Linked DNA regions of Schizosaccharomyces pombe. The gene in region 1 interacts genetically with each later gene. Each region holds a gene or a part of one and is shown in the gene's direction. Other genes may lie near its edges.

What was found.
Region 2: mutations in ani1 (region 1) and urk1 together harm fitness less than expected from each alone (positive genetic interaction), as found in Schizosaccharomyces pombe (2 studies listed by BioGRID).
Region 3: mutations in ani1 (region 1) and chp1 together harm fitness more than expected from each alone (negative genetic interaction), as found in Schizosaccharomyces pombe (2 studies listed by BioGRID).
Region 4: mutations in ani1 (region 1) and ase1 together harm fitness more than expected from each alone (negative genetic interaction), as found in Schizosaccharomyces pombe (2 studies listed by BioGRID).

The regions. Positions count from the first base shown.
Region 1 is NC_003423.3:4,062,464-4,066,460, forward strand, and holds ani1 (FKBP-type peptidyl-prolyl cis-trans isomerase), read left to right. Parts: upstream 1-2,056; 5' UTR 2,057-2,093; coding exon 2,094-3,179; 3' UTR 3,180-3,497; downstream 3,498-3,997. Other genes in the region: deoxycytidyl transferase Rev1, read right to left, coding at 1-1,695; sporulation specific PIL domain protein Meu14, read left to right, coding at 3,831-3,912, 3,954-3,997. UniProt on the Schizosaccharomyces pombe protein: PPIase that acts as a histone chaperone. Histone proline isomerase that increases the rate of cis-trans isomerization at prolines on the histone H3 N-terminal tail. Proline isomerization influences H3 methylation thereby regulating gene expression.
Region 2 is NC_003421.2:1,554,434-1,558,469, forward strand, and holds urk1 (uridine kinase/uracil phosphoribosyltransferase), read left to right. Parts: upstream 1-1,565; 5' UTR 1,566-1,673; intron 1,674-1,734; 5' UTR 1,735-2,011; coding exon 2,012-3,376; 3' UTR 3,377-3,480; downstream 3,481-4,036. Other genes in the region: serine/threonine protein kinase Ppk33, read right to left, coding at 3,791-4,036.
Region 3 is NC_003424.3:2,210,260-2,216,192, reverse strand, and holds chp1 (heterochromatin (HP1) family chromodomain protein Chp1), read left to right. Parts: upstream 1-1,847; 5' UTR 1,848-2,333; coding exon 2,334-5,216; 3' UTR 5,217-5,383; downstream 5,384-5,933. Other genes in the region: Rab11 family GTPase Ypt3, read right to left, coding at 1-378; aim18 (chalcone related protein), read left to right, coding at 5,518-5,933. UniProt on the Schizosaccharomyces pombe protein: Component of the kinetochore which plays a role in stabilizing microtubules and so allowing accurate chromosome segregation. Has a role in the RNA interference (RNAi) pathway which is important for heterochromatin formation and accurate chromosome segregation.
Region 4 is NC_003424.3:1,876,165-1,881,258, forward strand, and holds ase1 (antiparallel microtubule cross-linking factor Ase1), read left to right. Parts: upstream 1-2,024; 5' UTR 2,025-2,197; coding exon 2,198-2,621; exon of another isoform or gene 2,622-2,668; coding exon 2,669-4,440; 3' UTR 4,441-4,562; downstream 4,563-5,094. Other genes in the region: SPOM_SPAPB1A10.08 (uncharacterized protein), read left to right, coding at 95-722, 795-1,417; GTPase Ypt71, read right to left, coding at 4,715-5,094. UniProt on the Schizosaccharomyces pombe protein: Required for anaphase spindle elongation and microtubule bundling in both interphase and mitosis. Has a role in spatial and temporal regulation of septation and cytokinesis and ensures equal partition of segregating sister chromatids.

The DNA.
Region 1 (3,997 bases):
AATCCGAAGCTGAATTTGATGCAAAAGCACTTGGCATTTACCCATTCTGGAAAGCAACTCATGAAGCAACCGTTTTAAGAAATCTATCCCATCCTCTTGAAAAACGAAACGAACACCCCAATTAACATCTACGGATATGGACCTCCGTGGGGTTTCATTATTGATTATATCGGTATCAATTCCTCTGGAAATATTGTATAAATGCAGACCGTAATTTACCCCAAAAGTCTCTTGAAGATTGAATTTTTCAATTCTTTGCAGCTGCCCAATAGTACGCACACCGTACAAATTAAAAAGTTTCTGCGCTTGTGAAGAGCCCACCCCTGGTAAATCTTGAACAGACAAAGGACTCAATACATCAAAAACATTTTCTATTGACAAAGAATAAACGTTGTGAGGCTTCGCCTTCCTAAGTGCAAGTCTTGCTAAGAGAACATTTGGGCCAATACCAACGCTAACTTCGCAATTGGTTTTCTCGCGAACCTGCGAGCGGATAGACTCGGCAATCTCAAAGCAATCTTGAAAAGATGAAACACTAGAAGTTATATCTAGAAGAGCCTCGTCTATACTTATAACCTTAATATAGTCGTGAAGTGTATTAACAAGGATAGTGTAAAATTCTCTAGAAACAGATTCGTATGCTCCAAAATCATAATCAACAACCCGTAATGAAGGACACAGGTTTTTAGCTGTTCCAACGTACATACCATTTTTTATGCCAAACTTCCGAGCCTCATAATTACAACTAGCTATTTCGGAATTTTTTATACCATGAGCAACAGCAACGGGCTTCAGTCGTAGCTCATGAGAAAAGCGTGTTGAAACGGAAGCAAAAAAGCAATCAAAATCAACATGAAGAAGGAAACGAGATTTTTTTGATTTATCTTTCATAATTGGACGAACAGGTTCAGAAGCAGTAGTCATTGCTTGGATTTCATTTTTAAAATCAGCTTTCCAAGTACTTAAGTGATGTAAACGAGAGGAGCTAAAGAAATTCTCAAGAAAATCTTGATTTTGAGTGGTTGAATTTCGGACATTGGGATTTTTTAACAATTGATAGTTGTGCAGTGAAGACGCTGATAATCCACTCAAATCATCTAAAAATCCCTTTGCTTTACTCTCTTTTGTTTTATCTTTTTCATTATCATGTTCTTCTTCCTGCGAGCTTGTTTGAATATCTTCTAAGTTACCTTCGGGTTGGCTAGGTTTAGAGGCGACAAAAGAAAGGGTAGCTTGAGCCGATGAAGCTTGAAAGGTACGATAATTTATCCACGGAAGAATTTTCTTCTGTTTGATGCAATCCACTATCCATTCTGGTTTAACCACTTTCTGATGCTTCCATTGGCGAGCTTTGGAAGGAGTGAGAAATGAACACACCAAATATGATATGCTTGTTTTTCCATCAACATATTGTATAAAAGTACCTCCATTTGAAACTATCATTTGCCGTAATTCGGTATAAGACGGCTTTGTATATCCATTAATCGCTATTGCAAGTCCATGAAAGAGATCAGATTTAGAATCTTCATCAATACTTTTGTATAGAGCGGCATTTTGATTTTGAAGCTTTCTTTGTTTCCGGGAAAAATAATCTGCATAGTCGTGGAACCCAACACTTTCGTATGCCTCATCGTTTGCTTCGTCAAAGTCTGCAATCCCTACTGGGCGTCGACGCTTCCTTTGATTAAAAGCCATCCAGCGCGCTTCTCACTTTCAGTAAATATAAGTATTAATATGTTTCTGAAAGGAAAATAATACAAATAATAATGTAGCCACTTAAGCGGAAAAAGTGTAATTAATAAACAAACAATGTTTATAAAGAAAAACTAACTGCAAGAGCTTTTTTCTTTCATTATTTAACCTTATCCCAAAACTCGTGAAGCCAAACTATTTCAAAGTAAAAAACAACGAAATATCAAAAATAATTACTACGCGTTTGTTGTGATGCACGCTCGTCCAAATTTAATTAATTTTGAGTATAATTTGCAAATCGCGGTAATACGCACTACCCTTACTTAATGGAATACACAACGGTTTATGTATCAAAATTTTTTACATCCTCTACCACCTCACCTCTTAGGCAAGAATAAGTCATGTCTCTTCCAATTGCTGTTTATAGTCTTTCGGTAAAGGGAAAAGATGTTCCCGCTGTGGAGGAATCTACAGATGCATCTATTCATTTGACTATGGCATCCATTGATGCCGGCGAAAAGTCTAATAAACCAACTACTTTATTGGTGAAGGTTCGTCCCCGTATCCCCGTTGAAGATGAAGATGACGAAGAACTTGACGAACAAATGCAAGAGCTTCTGGAAGAAAGCCAGCGTGAATTTGTTTTATGTACTTTGAAGCCTGGTTCCTTATACCAACAGCCTTTAAATTTGACCATTACTCCTGGCGACGAAGTCTTCTTCAGTGCATCTGGCGATGCAACCATCCACTTGTCTGGTAACTTTTTGGTTGACGAAGAAGATGAGGAAGAGGAAGAATCTGACGAGGATTACGATTTGTCTCCTACTGAGGAGGATCTTGTCGAGACTGTCAGCGGTGATGAGGAAAGTGAAGAGGAATCTGAGTCGGAAGATAATTCAGCATCTGAGGAGGATGAATTGGATTCAGCTCCTGCTAAAAAGGCACAGGTTAAAAAAAAACGTACTAAGGATGAATCCGAGCAAGAAGAGGCTGCTTCTCCTAAGAAAAACAATACCAAGAAGCAAAAGGTTGAGGGTACCCCTGTTAAGGAAAAGAAGGTTGCATTTGCCGAAAAACTTGAACAAGGACCTACTGGTCCCGCTGCTAAGAAAGAAAAGCAACAAGCTTCTTCTAATGCACCTTCTAGTCCCAAGACTCGTACTTTAAAAGGAGGCGTGGTTGTAACTGATGTTAAAACTGGGAGCGGTGCGTCTGCTACCAATGGGAAAAAAGTTGAAATGAGATATATTGGGAAGCTCGAAAATGGAAAGGTTTTTGACAAAAACACTAAAGGTAAACCCTTTGCTTTTATCCTTGGTCGTGGTGAGGTTATTCGCGGGTGGGACGTCGGCGTTGCTGGAATGCAAGAAGGCGGTGAGCGTAAGATTACAATTCCTGCTCCCATGGCTTACGGCAACCAGAGCATTCCAGGAATTCCCAAGAATTCTACCTTAGTTTTTGAAGTCAAGCTTGTTCGCGTTCACTAAATTTTCATGTTGAAGATGAACATACTTTAACTCCCGTGTTTAAGAAGATCGCGGATTAAACTATGTATTCTATTAACTCTTTTTATCGCCTATCTTTTTCTTAGGTTTCAAAAAAAATCAGGGTATCATTTTGTATTTGAGTTAGGAAATTTTTTTTTAGTTAAGTGTTACAAACACTTTGGATATAGGACTTTTGGATGATTTGGATTGTTGGGTGATAAAGGAGATATAATCAATATACAATTTTTTAGAAAGAGCTGTTTGTATGTGTATGAGCATTAAGAGAAAAGAGAATAGCGCTTCCTTGATCGATACTAGTTAAGGATGTTTAAATTATGGAATTTTGAGTTTGAGTAAATATAAACGAGAACATTCCGAAAAACTCTATTAAAAGTAAAAAAAAACATATTGATAATAAAAGAGCCATTATCTGATTATCGCTAAATAAGTCTACAAACAGCTGTTTGTTTACGAAATTCTTAAAATTAATTATCGTAATAATCAACTTAAAAAAAAACAAGCAGTTTTAGAATTTAAAGAATTATTTTTATTATTTGTCTTTTTTCTATATTGTTTATTTGAAAATTGTGCTTCTGTTTACAGGCAAATCTTAAGGCGGGCATATATTTTTCTGAAACGTAAACAATCAACATGCCCAAATCAAGCAACTTGAAAATGCAGAGAAAAGGCTCTTTAAGAGAAAACGGTCTCGTGAAGGGTTTAAATAAAAATAGTAAGATATAAATTGGTGTGATAAATAAGTTAATGACATAGAATTTTCGATCAGCAAGTTAAAAGAACTATCTCATGCAGATGAC
Region 2 (4,036 bases), on another chromosome or scaffold:
TTGTCAATTCCTACTCCTGAAGTGAATAAATTAGCAGGTTAAGAATTCGTTCGCCAAGATAGGTGAAAGGAAAGAGAGGATGGAGGTGTGTCAATGTGAAACGAACAAAAGATGGCAAATATTATAAAACGGCTATAGCGTGATATCGTTTGTTAAAATATTAGATTTATTTCAATTCACTATTTTCTAGCTCAATAAGTGCAATTTATCATTACTAAAGGCATGGGTAATATATTACAACAAACGTTGGTAAAAGGAAGATGAGGAATTTAGTCATGTGGTACTCTTTTGTTTATTTTAAAAAGCGTTTTATTTGGTTTAAATTGCAGTTACAGTTTCAATTCTACAGCAAGTTTATGATAAAACTTTTCGAGTAAATGTGATGTGAAATTCAAGGATTTTTTTCTAATCAAATGAGGAGGGGAAGATATCTACTTTAATTTAATAAATCAATTGATTCCATTGCTATCGATACATGGATAATTAATTTGTGGGATTGAGAAGAAATTATGCGAACAAATTATCTAGGCTTAATATTCATGAGTTTCGAGTTTTAAATATGAAGTCAAAATTTGCGCAATTCGAGGTCATCAATGTCATTTTTTTGTGACGATTAGCCGTCAAATATGTTTAACATTGCACCGGCTTCAAATCTTTGCGTTTGATGCATTCACTATTCTATATTTTCACTTCTCTCGATATAGGGAAGAGAAATTTAAGGATTTTGCGTGTGCTAAGTAAGCATGTAAATGGGTTTCTATTCGAAAATGTACGCTTTTTTCAAATTTTTCTACTTTTTCACACCATTAATAGCGGATTACTCTACTTGATGGGTCAAACTGAATATCCTTTATACTATTTTCTAATTTGAAATTAATTGCCTATTACGAACAAAAGCGACGAGTTCTCAATATCATAAAACCTGCCATAAACTTATGTCCATTTACTTGGTTCTTCTGCACAAAAGAAACTTTCATATTCCTTTTTGTCAGTTCTCTTAGGTTTAAAAAAAATGGCAAAGCTACAATCTAAATCTTCGAGCGGCAAAATCATTTATTGAACTTTGAGACGATCTCAACCTAGCTGTTCTTTTTATTTCATCATTTTTGGAAGGTAAAAAATAATTTGAATCTGTTTTTCTAAGAAATGCGTATTAAGTATTAGTCGTGTTGATTTAGTTATTTATATAAACAAAGCAAGATTTCTCTTGCGTTTTTGAATTTGAGCCAATATGTTAAATTTCCTTATTGTCGCCTATTTTTATTAAATACATTTTTAAAGTTAAATTAAATATCAAATTTTGGTACAAGCTTCCAACATGTCACGAATGTTACAATTTTCACATAGTCAAAATTGATTAATTTCGAATATTAATTGCCGGATTTCTTTTAAATCTACATATAATTCATTAATTTAGTAATAGGTATTGCAAAAAAACTTCTCACTTCCGTTCTACAAACAAACTGCTCTTTCTTTATTCCCGATGATTACCGCGGCTCAGGCGCTGACTGAAAAAGTCACAGTGATAATGTTACCAAAGGATGAAAAAACAATGATATTGGATTTACCCTTCTCCAATTTATTGTTTCAACTAGTTTACTAGTTATTTAAAAAGACATTTCGAAAATCTTTCTATTTATGTTAAAATTTCCTAACATTTTTCCTTCCTTTGGGTTCGTATACATATATATATTTTTCTAATGGTATTGCTAACTCGAGATTTGTGATTTATAGAAAAAACTAAGCAAGTTTGAGAAGAGTAAGATAAGGAAACCATTATCATTCTACTTGAATTAATTCTGTTTGAATAAATATCTTTGGCTCTACAAATTGTGGAATATTTTCGTTTCACGCCAAGACAGAATTTACCTTTTAAAAAACGTTAGGTTCACCAATTAGTCTTTTTTTGCTCTACAGTTTTTTTTTTTTTAAACTTTCTTTAGTAATATTTCCTTGGAGGCTAGCATACCTTTTTTTTGGGCTTCTTATTTATTTTATTTCTTTCGTTATTATGCCTGAAGCTTTTGAGCGTTATTCAAGCAACCCAACTTATGAACCCCCATGGCGTAAAGTGCGATTTATTGGAATTGCAGGACCATCGGGTAGTGGGAAAACCTCGGTGGCCCAATTGATTGTAAAGGCGTTAAATCTTCCACATGTTGTTATTTTATCCCTTGACTCGTTTTACAAATCTTTGAATGCAGAGCAGAAGAAGAGAGCATTTAACAACGACTATGACTTTGATTCCCCCGAAGCCATTGATTGGGACTTGCTCTTCGTAAAACTGCTAGAACTTAAACAAGGCCGTAAAGTTGACATTCCTATATATAGCTTCAATGAGCATAATCGGCTTCCTGAGACCAACACGTTATTCGGAGCAAGTATCATTATTCTCGAAGGGATTTTTGCTTTATACGATGAAAAGATTCGCTCTCTCCTTGACGTCTCGGTCTTTCTAGATACAGATTCGGACGTGTGTCTCTCTCGTCGACTGAATCGCGATATCAACTATCGAGGAAGGGACATAGTTGGCGTTTTGGAACAATATAATAAATTTGTCAAGCCAAGTTATGAGAACTTCGTTAGGCGTCAACTATCTTACACTGATCTTATCGTTCCTCGTGGCCGGGACAATAAATTGGCAATTGATATGGTGATTAATTTTATTCGTAGAACACTTTCTATACAAAGTGAAACTCATGTTAAGAACATTGATAGTTTACAGCAAATTGTACCAACCATTCCCCATTTACCCTTAAATTTAGTTCAGCTTAAAATTACGCCTGAAATATCTGCCATCAGGACTATTCTTATAAACAAAAATACACACCCTGATGATTTACAATTTTTTTTGAGCAGAATTGGCACCATGTTGATGAATTTGGCAGGTGATTCGCTTGCATATGAAAAGAAAACGATTACTTTGCATAACGGAAACCAGTGGGAAGGTCTACAAATGGCAAAAGAGCTTTGTGGTGTTTCAGTTTTGCGATCCGGCGGAACTCTTGAAACAGCTTTATGTCGTCAATTTCCAACAGTGTGTTTGGGTAAGATTTTGGTGCAAATCAATAAAGTTACTCAAGAACCAACTTTACATTACCATAAATTGCCCCGTGGCATTGCTACCATGAATGTTGTTTTGATGGCTTCACATTTAACTACACATGCAGATGTCTTAATGGCCACGCAAATTTTAGTGGATTTCGGGGTCCCAGAGGAAAACATTATAATTGTGGTCTATGTTTGTTACTCTGAAAGTATTAAAGCGCTGGCTTATATTTTCCCAAAGGTTACCATTGTTACAGCATTTCTAGAAAGTGTTGCTGAACCCGTAGTCGGTAGATTGGATATCGAAAAAGTGTATTATGGATGCTGATATAACATTTATATGCGTGGATATAAAAAACAAAAGTTTAATGTCTGTTAGGAGTTTAGTGTACATTTTATTAAAGAATTCCCTTTGTTTGGATTATTACTTGCAGAAAACTACGGATAACAGGTGTTTGGTGATATAAATGTCATATTAATTAATTCGTGTAATTTCGTATCGCTCGATTAGAATAGTTCAGAAATTCAAAGTTATAAATAATGAAGTTTGAAATAGTTTAAGTGGAAACGCAGTCAAAATTTTTCCAGGGAAAATAAGAGACGAGACTATCAGGCAAGCAAAAAAAAATAGTAAAAAAATAGCAATACTATGTAACACATGAACCGAAAGACAAATCGTAGCTGAGAGAATCTTTGAATAATCATATATATTAATTAGTTTTGTAAACATTGAATCATTAGTTTAAAAAGTAGCCTCCAAATCTAAAATTGGGTCAACATATACTTTTCCAGATTTCGGACGGAAAATAGGAGTCAGGTTGCCCTTGGAAACGGTCTCCAAAGAGATAGAGCAAAAAAATGGATGTGTTTGAAGTTTCTTGCTGGAGTGACCCAACCTCTTCTTAATGTCCATTTCTAGAAAAGCCATAACAGCTGAACGAGCATCTTTCGAGATAGTAGTTAGCTTTTTATCCCGAGAAATATGAAG
Region 3 (5,933 bases), on another chromosome or scaffold:
ATCCGTTTTATTACCAACAAGCATGATAACGATGTTGCTGTCTGCATGCTCACGAAGCTCCTTTAACCAGCGGCCCACATTATCGAATGAAGATTGTTTTGTGATATCGTAAACAATCAGAGCACCAACAGCACCACGGTAATAAGCTGAGGTAATGGCCCGATAACGTTCCTGACCGGCAGTATCCCAGATCTGTGCTTTAATTTTTTTGTTGTCAAGAACAATATTTCTAGTAGCAAATTCAACACCAATAGTACTCTTGCTTTCGATATTAAATTCATTCCTAGTGAAACGCATAAGTAGGTTTGACTTTCCAACACCACTATCCCCAATCAGCACAGTCTTGAACAAATAATCGTATTCGTCCTCTTGACACATGGCTAAGTTCTCTATCGGTAAATCTACGAACAATTTTTGTTAACAAATATTTAAGGTCAAATAATATCAAGGTATATACCTGTAAATTACAATGAACCCTGCTTTCGATAGTCGAAGAATTTACTTAGTCGTAGTTTGTTGTAGGTAAGTTGCAGAGGGATATCAGAAAACCTAAGGAAGTAATAATCCTTTATCATGGTAACAAAAAAAAGTCCACTAGTGCCACTGGCCGTTAAAATGCATATAACGCATTCCAATGATTCATTAAATAATTATACTGCGTTACAAAGAATGTCGTAATCATGAGAAGGCTGGTGTCGTTTAGTGATTGCTATCATCAAAATCATTATGCTGTTGTTCACTATAAAGCGCTATTTTGTAAACATTTTAAAATGCCTTTGATATAAAGAAGCGCAAGTACTCAATTGAATGCAAGTACTATCAATTATATGAATGACCGATTGAACCCAATCGCAAAACTGGATATGGACGGGTTGGTATGGGTTTTTACAGTGCGATTAGTCAGTACTATACCCATTTTAGTCCTGCATCAAACAATGATGTAGAAATTCTTTGAAAGCAATGTTTTGATTTCCAAGTTACAAAGTTATCTAGCCAAAGAAAGAATATTTTAAGTTCCGGTTTTTTCAGCAGCTTTTTCTCACTTTTATAATGGTCACAATGATCGAAATTAAAAATTTGAAAGAATAAAATTGGCGGCTCAATTGAAATCTTTTTCTTTATGCAAAAGTTATACAATGTTGGATGCTGCTCATGGCATGCAGGCATCCTTCATGCAGAAAGTTACTTGAGTAATCCATCGAATAATTATCGTTGGCAAATCTTGGGTTAACAAGAAACAAAAAAATCCTGCACATAAACAGTTTTTCTTATTAAGTTCATTTCATGGAAAACGAATAACATAGTTCCGTAATAATATAAGTAAATGGATCCCTTGGTTAACCTCTATATAAAATTAATGCAAGCAATTATCAAAAGAGGTCGTGTGGTTTAGATGGTTATAATTTCTGCTTAACATGCTAGTTCGCAGACGGTCCCAAGTTCGAGTCTTGGCACGATCATTTTTTTCTATCGTAGTAATTATTTACTTTTCTTATTGTACTACCAGTTTTGGAATGATATGTTGTGTTGAATTCGTTTATATAGAGTTAACACATTTAGAGGTATTATGTATAAACGCATCGTTTAATAAATTGCAGCGCTCAAAATCTACTCATTGTAGCTTTTTGAAAACAAAATTCATTATTTGTTTAAAGTTTTTCTAACTTACACAACCACCCAGAAAATAAAATTAGAAGTTCAGGAGGAATGAGAAAATTTTAAACATTTATCAATTTACCAACAAAGTTTTTTGACTACTAGTACCTCATGTATGCAACTAGTAACACTAGTGGTTAGTGAGTATTTTCTCAAAGTACATATGTCTCCATAGGTGTCTTCAAATCTGCAACCTCAACCTCACACACTTGATTAATGCAATAAAACTCCAAACCCAATCGAAAACTTATTTTTTTGTATATTTAACGGTTTGCGTTGGTGACACGACGGTAAAATCACGCGGATTTTGTTTGATTCCAAAATTCGAGTGCATAAGCCATCTTGCTTATTGCAGCGAGACTTCGAAATTCTAACATCTAAAAGCTTCATTACTGGAATTATCTGTTGTTATTCTTGTGTTCCATTGGTAAAAAAATCACAAGCAAAAGGGAAATATTTGAGCCATTTTAGAGGTTATACTCTGCCCTTCATGCAACTATAAAAGTAGTTGAAAGGGAAGAACTTTGGCTAATAGTTTTGTCAAGGAATCTATTCAATCTTGCTTAATTCCGTTTTTTTTTTAAATTCATATCTTTATCCTTTTATATATTTTTTTGTTGTAATACTTCAATCTCTCTTAGCGACACGTAGGTGAGCAAAAAACCCGCTACCTTGAAATGGTATCTGTTAAACCACTTCCTGATATTGACTCGAATGAAGGTGAGACAGACGCGGATGTTTATGAGGTGGAAGATATCCTTGCTGACCGCGTAAATAAAAATGGCATAAACGAATATTATATAAAATGGGCTGGCTATGATTGGTATGATAATACTTGGGAACCTGAACAAAATTTATTCGGTGCGGAAAAAGTGCTTAAAAAATGGAAAAAACGGAAAAAGTTAATTGCTAAAGGCTTGCTTGAACCTTTCGATGCGGAAGATAATGAGGCAAAGAAAATGAAGAGAGAAAAGGAGATATTGAGGCAACAAAGACAAAAGCGCAAATCCGAGCTTACCCAATTATCTCAAAAAGTCAAAGAAAAATTCAAAAAGATGCGTAAGAAGCCTGCCCGAAGGATTGTAACCATCGCAAATGATGAAGAGGAAGAGGACGATCAGACAATGGATGAGGATGCGTTTGAGAGAAAAAGTATGCAAGGGGAATTGAAGGAGAGGAATTTGACCGATAAAACTAGCACGCTATCCACATCGTTTGGTGAAACTAGCCCTGATGTTAATCCTTTCTACTTATCAGAGTGGCCTACAGTTACCGACAGTATTTTATTGTCCAAAAGCCTCTCCAGCGATGCAATACCTTTGAAAAATGGCGAAATTAAAAGCACAATGTTGATGCCCAGTGACTCTGACAACTCAGTTCCCGGAATTCAAAATTCGAACAATCTTGAAAATACTGGCGCTTTTGTTGAAAATGCGAATTCACCACAATCTAACACCCCCTTGTCAACCTTTAGGCATTCAAGCCCTTTAAGTCTGTCGCCAGTAATAACTTCCGATAATGATGTTGCCAATTCATTATTTTTTAGCAATTCGACTCCTCTTCCTTCCTCTTTGAAGATAAAAAAGGAAGCACCGAAATTAGAAACGCATACGATATTAGTTAGTGATAATTCTGGTTCTTTAACGAAGCAAGATATTTTATCGTACTTTGCTTTTATCAAAGGAAATATTGAGGTCTTTTTTCTCAAATCACCAAAGAAAGACAAAGTTTGTAATATGGCCTACATTCAATTCGATTCTATCGAACAAGCCAAACTTGCGTATGATAAAGGGCATCCAAGTTGGCATGTAACTTTAGTAAAAGGGAAGATATCAACTGATATGGAAGAATGTAAAGTCTCAAAGTCTATTTTAAAAACAACCCCTTCAAAGAAAGCAAATGCAAGGTCCGTTTCTTTTACACAAACAACAACAGATACCCTTTCTGAGTCGGAAAAATTTGCTAGCAATGTCGATCTGGACGAAAATTTCGATTTCAACGTAAACGTGACGAATGAAGATGCTAAGCAGCTTAAGAAAAGTGTTATCGGAAGTAGTTGGACTACTGTTAATAACGACTGGAACAGTGTTTCTAAAAGCGATCAAACTTTTGAAAATGATGGAGCTAGCAAAGTAGTTCCGGCTGGTAATATTACTTTAAATTCGGATAACTCTCTTCACCATTCGATAAGCGAATCCGAAGATCTTTCTTCAGCAAGCACATTGTCTGATTATTTTAGATTCGTTTTGCGAGTCGGAAAATCTCTCTACTATGCTGGAGAATTGTCATTTGATATATCCAAGCTTAAGGCGGAAACTGAACATCAACAGTTGTTACGAAGTTTAGTCAGTTGCAAGCAAGTAGATGTTTTACGTTTTGTTACTTCACAATATCTCGAGGTATTTGGTACTTGCTTGACTAAAGTTCTTTCCGGAAGTCTTTGTATTCGAAGCGATGTTGATATGACTCACTTTAAAAATATACTAAACCGCGGCAACGGTGCTGGCATCGTTCTGGGTAGTAACTATACATTATTATTATTTACAGAGGATAATAATGCTTTAATGAATTTATACGATTGTCAAGGCCAAAGCAATAGCCCTTTTTGGATGGTGATTTTTGAACCTTTAGAATCAATCCTAGTCGAATGGTCGGCAAAAAATCTAAGGCCTAAAAAGCCATATCATAAATCCCAATCTTACTTGTCTTATTTACTACAATTAGGCCACATCGATTTACATAAAATAGGCGCTTTTCAAGCTACACAAATTTTAATTGTCTCTAAACAGCCTTCTCCGGAGGCAGAAGAATTGGAGGATACTTTTAGAGAAGCTGCTATTCCGACATTTCGAGGACTCGAGATTCCGGAATCTTTGTTTTTATCACAGAATGTTTTTGTTTTCCTGAATGTCTCACTAGAGGATGATTTTGATCAACTGCAATTTTTAACACTGGCGAAAAGGAAAAGTTGTAAATTTTTCTTATTTGGTTTGTCACTCCCTCTCAAAAGTCCTAATGATTCACACGTGGGTACGGACTTTAAGAAAAACAATGAACCCCTTGATAAGTTGACATATTCACAGTACTTAAGACCGATGTTTCCTAAGGGTGGGGTGGTATCTGTTACACTCTCAGCACTTATAAAAACACCACGGCTTTTGGAACTCATTAGTCCATTTCTTGAGATTAAAAAAGATTCATGGATTTTAATTCTACCCCCATCAATTGTGGATATGGTCAAGAGCTATTTTGTAACAAACAATCCAGACAAAAGTCTCTTGGAAATTCAAAACTTATTGAATACACTCCAGCGCTACCTGACCAACCCAGCGCTGAAGAACGTGACTTTGTATCAGGATTGGGATATTGTGATCGATGATAGCGCTGATGTATCTTTAGCCAGCACTCTACAATTGTACCAGAAAAAAAATTATGATAAATATAGAAGGTTCGTATTGATTCACGAGCTTAAAAATGAATTGACGCCAGTTAATGGCCTTGACATTGTTGACTATGATGAGTTCAAAGAGACTTTTATGAGAGCTATTGGTTTAAAATAGTCGTTTTATTTATTTTGGGATACGGCGGACAATGGGATATATAGACTGACATTTTTTCTTATTACGAATGGATAGGAATACTTAAAATTAAACTCAAAGACTTATACTAGAAAATAACAGTCTACTCTTTAGAAATTAGACGATTAATTAATTAATTAATTTTTTCACTATATAATAACCGTATGTTTCAACATTGTTAGTTGTTTTTGCGCACCTCCTTAAAATCTAGGATCTCTTGGAAAAACATGTGATCCAATACCAACCGGCTAATATCTGTGTGTGTGTATTTAAACTAAACAACATGTTTGGTACTCGTTTTTTTGCTTATCAATTTTGCAAGAATTGGTTATCGAAACGACCAGGATTGGTCTTTTGGAGCTCAGTAGCAACAATAAATGCCATGTATCAAACTCGCCCTCTATACTGTGAGAGTGTCACCAAGACAATTCAACAAACATACGAAGGATTAGTTCAAAAAAGAATTAATAATGAGGATGAACTATTTTTGTTAGGTTCAGGACCGCGATATGTTTCTTTTCTAAGTATTCATGTGTATGATATCGAATTGTATATTCAGAAGAAAGATGTTCAAACCGTTCACACTATATTGCAAAAGGAGGTAGATCCGAAATTAGGGCTAGAAATGAGTATGAAAGACGAAGAAATTGGAAGTCGGATCGTGGCAGCGCTATTGAAAAACGAAATGAAGTATGCCAT
Region 4 (5,094 bases), on another chromosome or scaffold:
TTTATGAACTGCTTTGCAATTAGAAACCGGTAGGATTTGATCAATTGGCTTTATATATAGGCGCTATATTTTCTTTCTTTTTACATTTCTTTCTATGATGACTCGGATGGAATTAAGACCATTGGAAATTGGCTTCTCTAAAGCACTCACAGAAGTAGCTCCGGTAACTTGTCAATGCGAATGTTGGGATCATAATCTTTGCAGCTCTCAAGCTAGTGAGATGGATTTAATTTATCAGTCTCAGGATACCCATTCTTGTGCATCAAAGCAAGACGCCGTTTTTCAGTTGCTGAGTGAAACCAAGATCCCTGTTCCCAATCGTTATAGAAAAATTTCACATCGCTTGAGTACTCTATCTAATAAAAAAACTCTTAAATCACAATTAGATCGTTTTTTGTCTTCGTCCAAAAAATTACACAATGATGATGTTAATAGAGGTGATTACTGCTTTCTTCTTTCTACACCTGTCGAGTGTTCTGCTTCTACCAACTCTCATTCTTACGACTGTTTGTGGAATTTTTCGTGTAATTCATTCCCTGAATACTCCTCCTACTCTGCTTCGGAAACGTCTTCAGTCGCTTCTTACTCTTACTATTCGGGGCCAAATCCTGCAACTCCCAGCTCTTCCTCTTGTAACCTCGTAAACGCAAATAGCCTTGATATTTACTTGAATATTAACAACTTAAAAAAATCCAAATCTGTTCCTCGTTTAAGAGGTCAATGTATGTTCTTTTAAGATTTTTCAACCTTTTCTCTTATCTTTTATTTATTCATCGTTGCTAACAATATCATAGTTATGGAGCCCGTAGAGCATAACCATCCACTTTCTAAAAGTCTTGAGGAGCAATCCTCTTTTTTGGAACAATCAAAGGATGCTTCCTCTAACTTGACCGCCTGCAATAGGAGTGGCTCTAGTTTATCATCTAATTTCTACTCATCTAGGTTGTCCAAAAAAACATCTTTAGCATCTTTAAATAAGTCTCGAGCTTCTTTACAGCATAAAATAATGTCGCTATCTCGTAATATCATCAGACGTGTATTTCACAAGCCAGAAGTGCATTTGGATCCAAGTGCCTCCATTTTAAATCTCTCATCTTCGCATGGCGAAAGCAACCTGACAAATGGTTTGCTTTGTCAAAATTTCAAGCTTTTTCAGGATGATTGGTTGATGGAGGATTGTGCGCCAGATGCCAATTTCACTTTGTACACCCCGCTTCAACCCTGGGAAAAGCGAAGTGTGAAACCTGAAATCAGACGTCCTCGATTAAATCCTAATTTTTTCCGAGTATTTGTTTTAGAAGCTCAAATGCGACGAGCTGGAAAGCTATCAGCAAACACTGCTGGCCGAGCCCAGTTAATTTACCTCCCAAAGCCTGCCGTTACCTTCTCCACTAGCCCTTTGCATGTTGAATTGTAAAAATTTAACGCATGACTTATATACATTTGCATTCTTCCAAGCTGGTTATATTTATTTTCATTTTTTTCTCACCCAATACTTTTTTATCCCTACTGTCTTTATGGACAATCGACTCACAATTGTTTCTTTTTGTTGTATATGATTTTTTTTTTAAAGGAAATGGGTTTCGCGATACTGGGTTGAATCCCAATTGCGGTTAATATTACATAAAATAATTCTCCCATAGTCCTAGATCCTGTCTTTGAATATGAGCAAATAAAAGAATTGAACAAATCATGAATGCTTTTCTCTCTTAGATGATATTTTGTATGCATAAGTCTAATTATATTGATTACGATAAGACTTAAAAAGTAAGCCTTTGTATCCTTTTAAGCAGTATTTGAATTTTCTTGTATCATATTTTAGGTAGAGCAAAAGATACCAGTTTGTAGAACTTTATGTGCTTCCTTACATTGGTATATTTCAGGCACATAAATATTCTTCAACTTACAATTCTAAGTATTTTGTTTATACTAAAAGGAGCTGAATAACGTTTATACAGTGCTGACATTGAAATCTATTTGCTTTCTTTGGAATATAAGCGCATGCTGAGTTACTTTCGCAGGCCAAGCCATATCCAACCACCATTTTTGTGCCAAGCTTTTATGCAAGGTTAATTCCTTGTACTGCTTGTTATGTTATAATATATCAACATCTTAACAGTTTTCATATCTTCCTTTATATTCTATTAATTGAATTTCAAACATCGTTTTATTGAGCTCATTTACATCAACCGGTTCAATGCAAACAGTAATGATGGATGACATTCAAAGCACTGATTCTATTGCTGAAAAAGATAATCACTCTAATAATGAATCTAACTTTACTTGGAAAGCGTTTCGTGAACAAGTGGAAAAGCATTTTTCTAAAATTGAAAGGCTTCACCAAGTCCTTGGAACAGATGGAGACAATTCATCATTATTTGAGTTGTTTACAACGGCAATGAATGCCCAGCTTCATGAAATGGAACAGTGCCAGAAAAAACTTGAAGATGACTGTCAGCAAAGAATTGATTCAATCAGATTTTTGGTTTCCTCATTAAAGTTAACGGATGATACTTCTAGTCTCAAAATTGAGTCTCCTTTAATTCAGTGTTTGAATCGTTTGTCAATGGTAGAAGGACAATATATGGCACAGTATGATCAAAAGTTAAGTACGATTAAAGGTATGTAATCGTCTTTAATTTAGACTTGTGTTTTAACTGATGTATAGAAATGTATCACAAATTGGAGTCATATTGTAACCGCTTAGGAAGTCCGTTCGTTTTACCTGATTTTGAGAATTCATTTTTATCTGATGTATCCGATGCTTTTACTGAATCTTTGAGAGGACGCATCAACGAAGCCGAAAAGGAGATTGATGCGAGATTAGAGGTTATTAATTCCTTTGAAGAAGAAATTTTGGGTTTGTGGTCTGAACTCGGTGTTGAGCCCGCTGATGTTCCACAATACGAACAATTGCTTGAATCCCATACTAATCGACCAAATGATGTTTATGTTACTCAAGAACTTATCGACCAACTTTGCAAGCAAAAAGAAGTTTTTTCCGCTGAAAAAGAAAAGAGAAGTGATCATTTAAAAAGTATACAATCAGAAGTTAGCAACTTGTGGAATAAGCTTCAAGTTTCTCCCAATGAACAAAGTCAATTTGGCGATTCATCAAACATTAATCAAGAAAATATTTCATTATGGGAAACTGAACTTGAAAAACTTCATCAGTTAAAAAAGGAGCATTTACCCATTTTTTTAGAAGACTGTCGTCAACAAATTCTTCAGCTTTGGGATTCTCTGTTTTATTCAGAAGAACAAAGAAAGTCCTTTACACCTATGTATGAAGACATTATTACAGAGCAGGTTCTTACGGCCCATGAAAACTATATAAAGCAACTAGAGGCCGAAGTTTCTGCTAATAAGTCCTTTTTAAGCTTAATTAATCGCTATGCCTCTTTAATAGAAGGAAAGAAAGAGCTTGAAGCTAGTTCTAATGATGCCTCTCGTCTAACACAACGGGGACGCCGGGACCCAGGTTTACTTCTACGTGAAGAGAAAATCCGTAAGCGACTTTCTAGAGAACTTCCTAAGGTTCAGTCGCTGCTTATACCAGAGATTACAGCATGGGAAGAAAGAAATGGAAGGACGTTCCTTTTTTATGATGAACCACTTCTCAAGATTTGCCAAGAGGCCACTCAACCAAAATCATTATATAGAAGTGCAAGTGCTGCCGCAAACCGCCCGAAAACAGCAACTACAACGGACTCTGTTAATAGAACACCTTCTCAACGAGGGCGTGTAGCTGTACCTTCAACACCAAGTGTTAGGTCCGCTTCTCGAGCTATGACGAGTCCAAGGACACCGCTTCCTAGAGTAAAAAACACTCAAAATCCAAGTCGTTCCATTAGTGCAGAACCGCCATCAGCAACCAGTACCGCCAATAGAAGACACCCCACTGCTAATCGAATTGATATAAACGCTAGATTAAACAGTGCTAGTCGGTCTCGAAGCGCGAACATGATAAGACAAGGGGCAAATGGTAGTGACAGCAATATGTCTTCTTCACCCGTTTCTGGAAATTCCAATACCCCTTTTAACAAGTTTCCAAATTCTGTATCTCGCAATACACATTTTGAATCCAAGTCACCGCACCCAAATTACTCTCGAACTCCTCATGAAACGTATTCAAAGGCTTCATCTAAGAACGTCCCATTAAGTCCTCCAAAGCAGCGTGTAGTTAATGAACACGCTTTAAATATTATGTCGGAAAAATTGCAAAGAACTAATCTGAAAGAACAAACACCCGAGATGGACATTGAAAACAGCTCGCAGAACCTTCCTTTTTCTCCTATGAAGATATCCCCCATAAGAGCATCACCCGTAAAGACAATTCCATCATCACCGTCCCCCACTACCAACATTTTTTCTGCTCCACTCAACAATATTACAAATTGTACACCGATGGAGGATGAATGGGGAGAAGAAGGCTTTTAAGCTTCTTATTTACCTAATCGATCAAATTTAAATATACATATTTTTGCATATGAATACAGCATATAGATAATTCATAAAAGTTTATTAACTGAGGTCATAATTAAAAGACTATTTACACCTAAAAAAAAACGTGTATCAATAGAGGGAAAAGAGAAGAATTAAGAACAGAAAGTAACCATAGTTTTGTTAAAATAGCAATGTAAAAAAATATTATGAAAAGAAAACGTATAGCACATTTTGAAATGTAAAAGAATCTGAGAGAGCGTGTGAATATCTAGCAATTACAAGAAGATGTATTATTCAAAGGCTTTGAAAGAAGCAAAGGTTCAGAGAAGTCATTAACAAAGTCATCTCTCGAGCTTTCATTTTCTAAAGCTAAACGACTGACTGTTTCGAAAAGGTCAGTAACGTTTGTATTTTCTTTTGCACTAGCTTCAAAATGAATCATATTTGATCCATGTTTGGATTTGCAATAGTCAAGAGCTCGATGAAGAGATACGGCTCGTTTAGACGCGTCTTTGTCGATTTGATTTCCAACGATAATGAAAGGGAATGCACATTCATCTTGTGAAGTTTGATATAAAAATTCTTGCCTCCAGTTTTCTACTGAGTCAAAAGACTTCGAGTTATTCACATTATAAACAATTACACAAC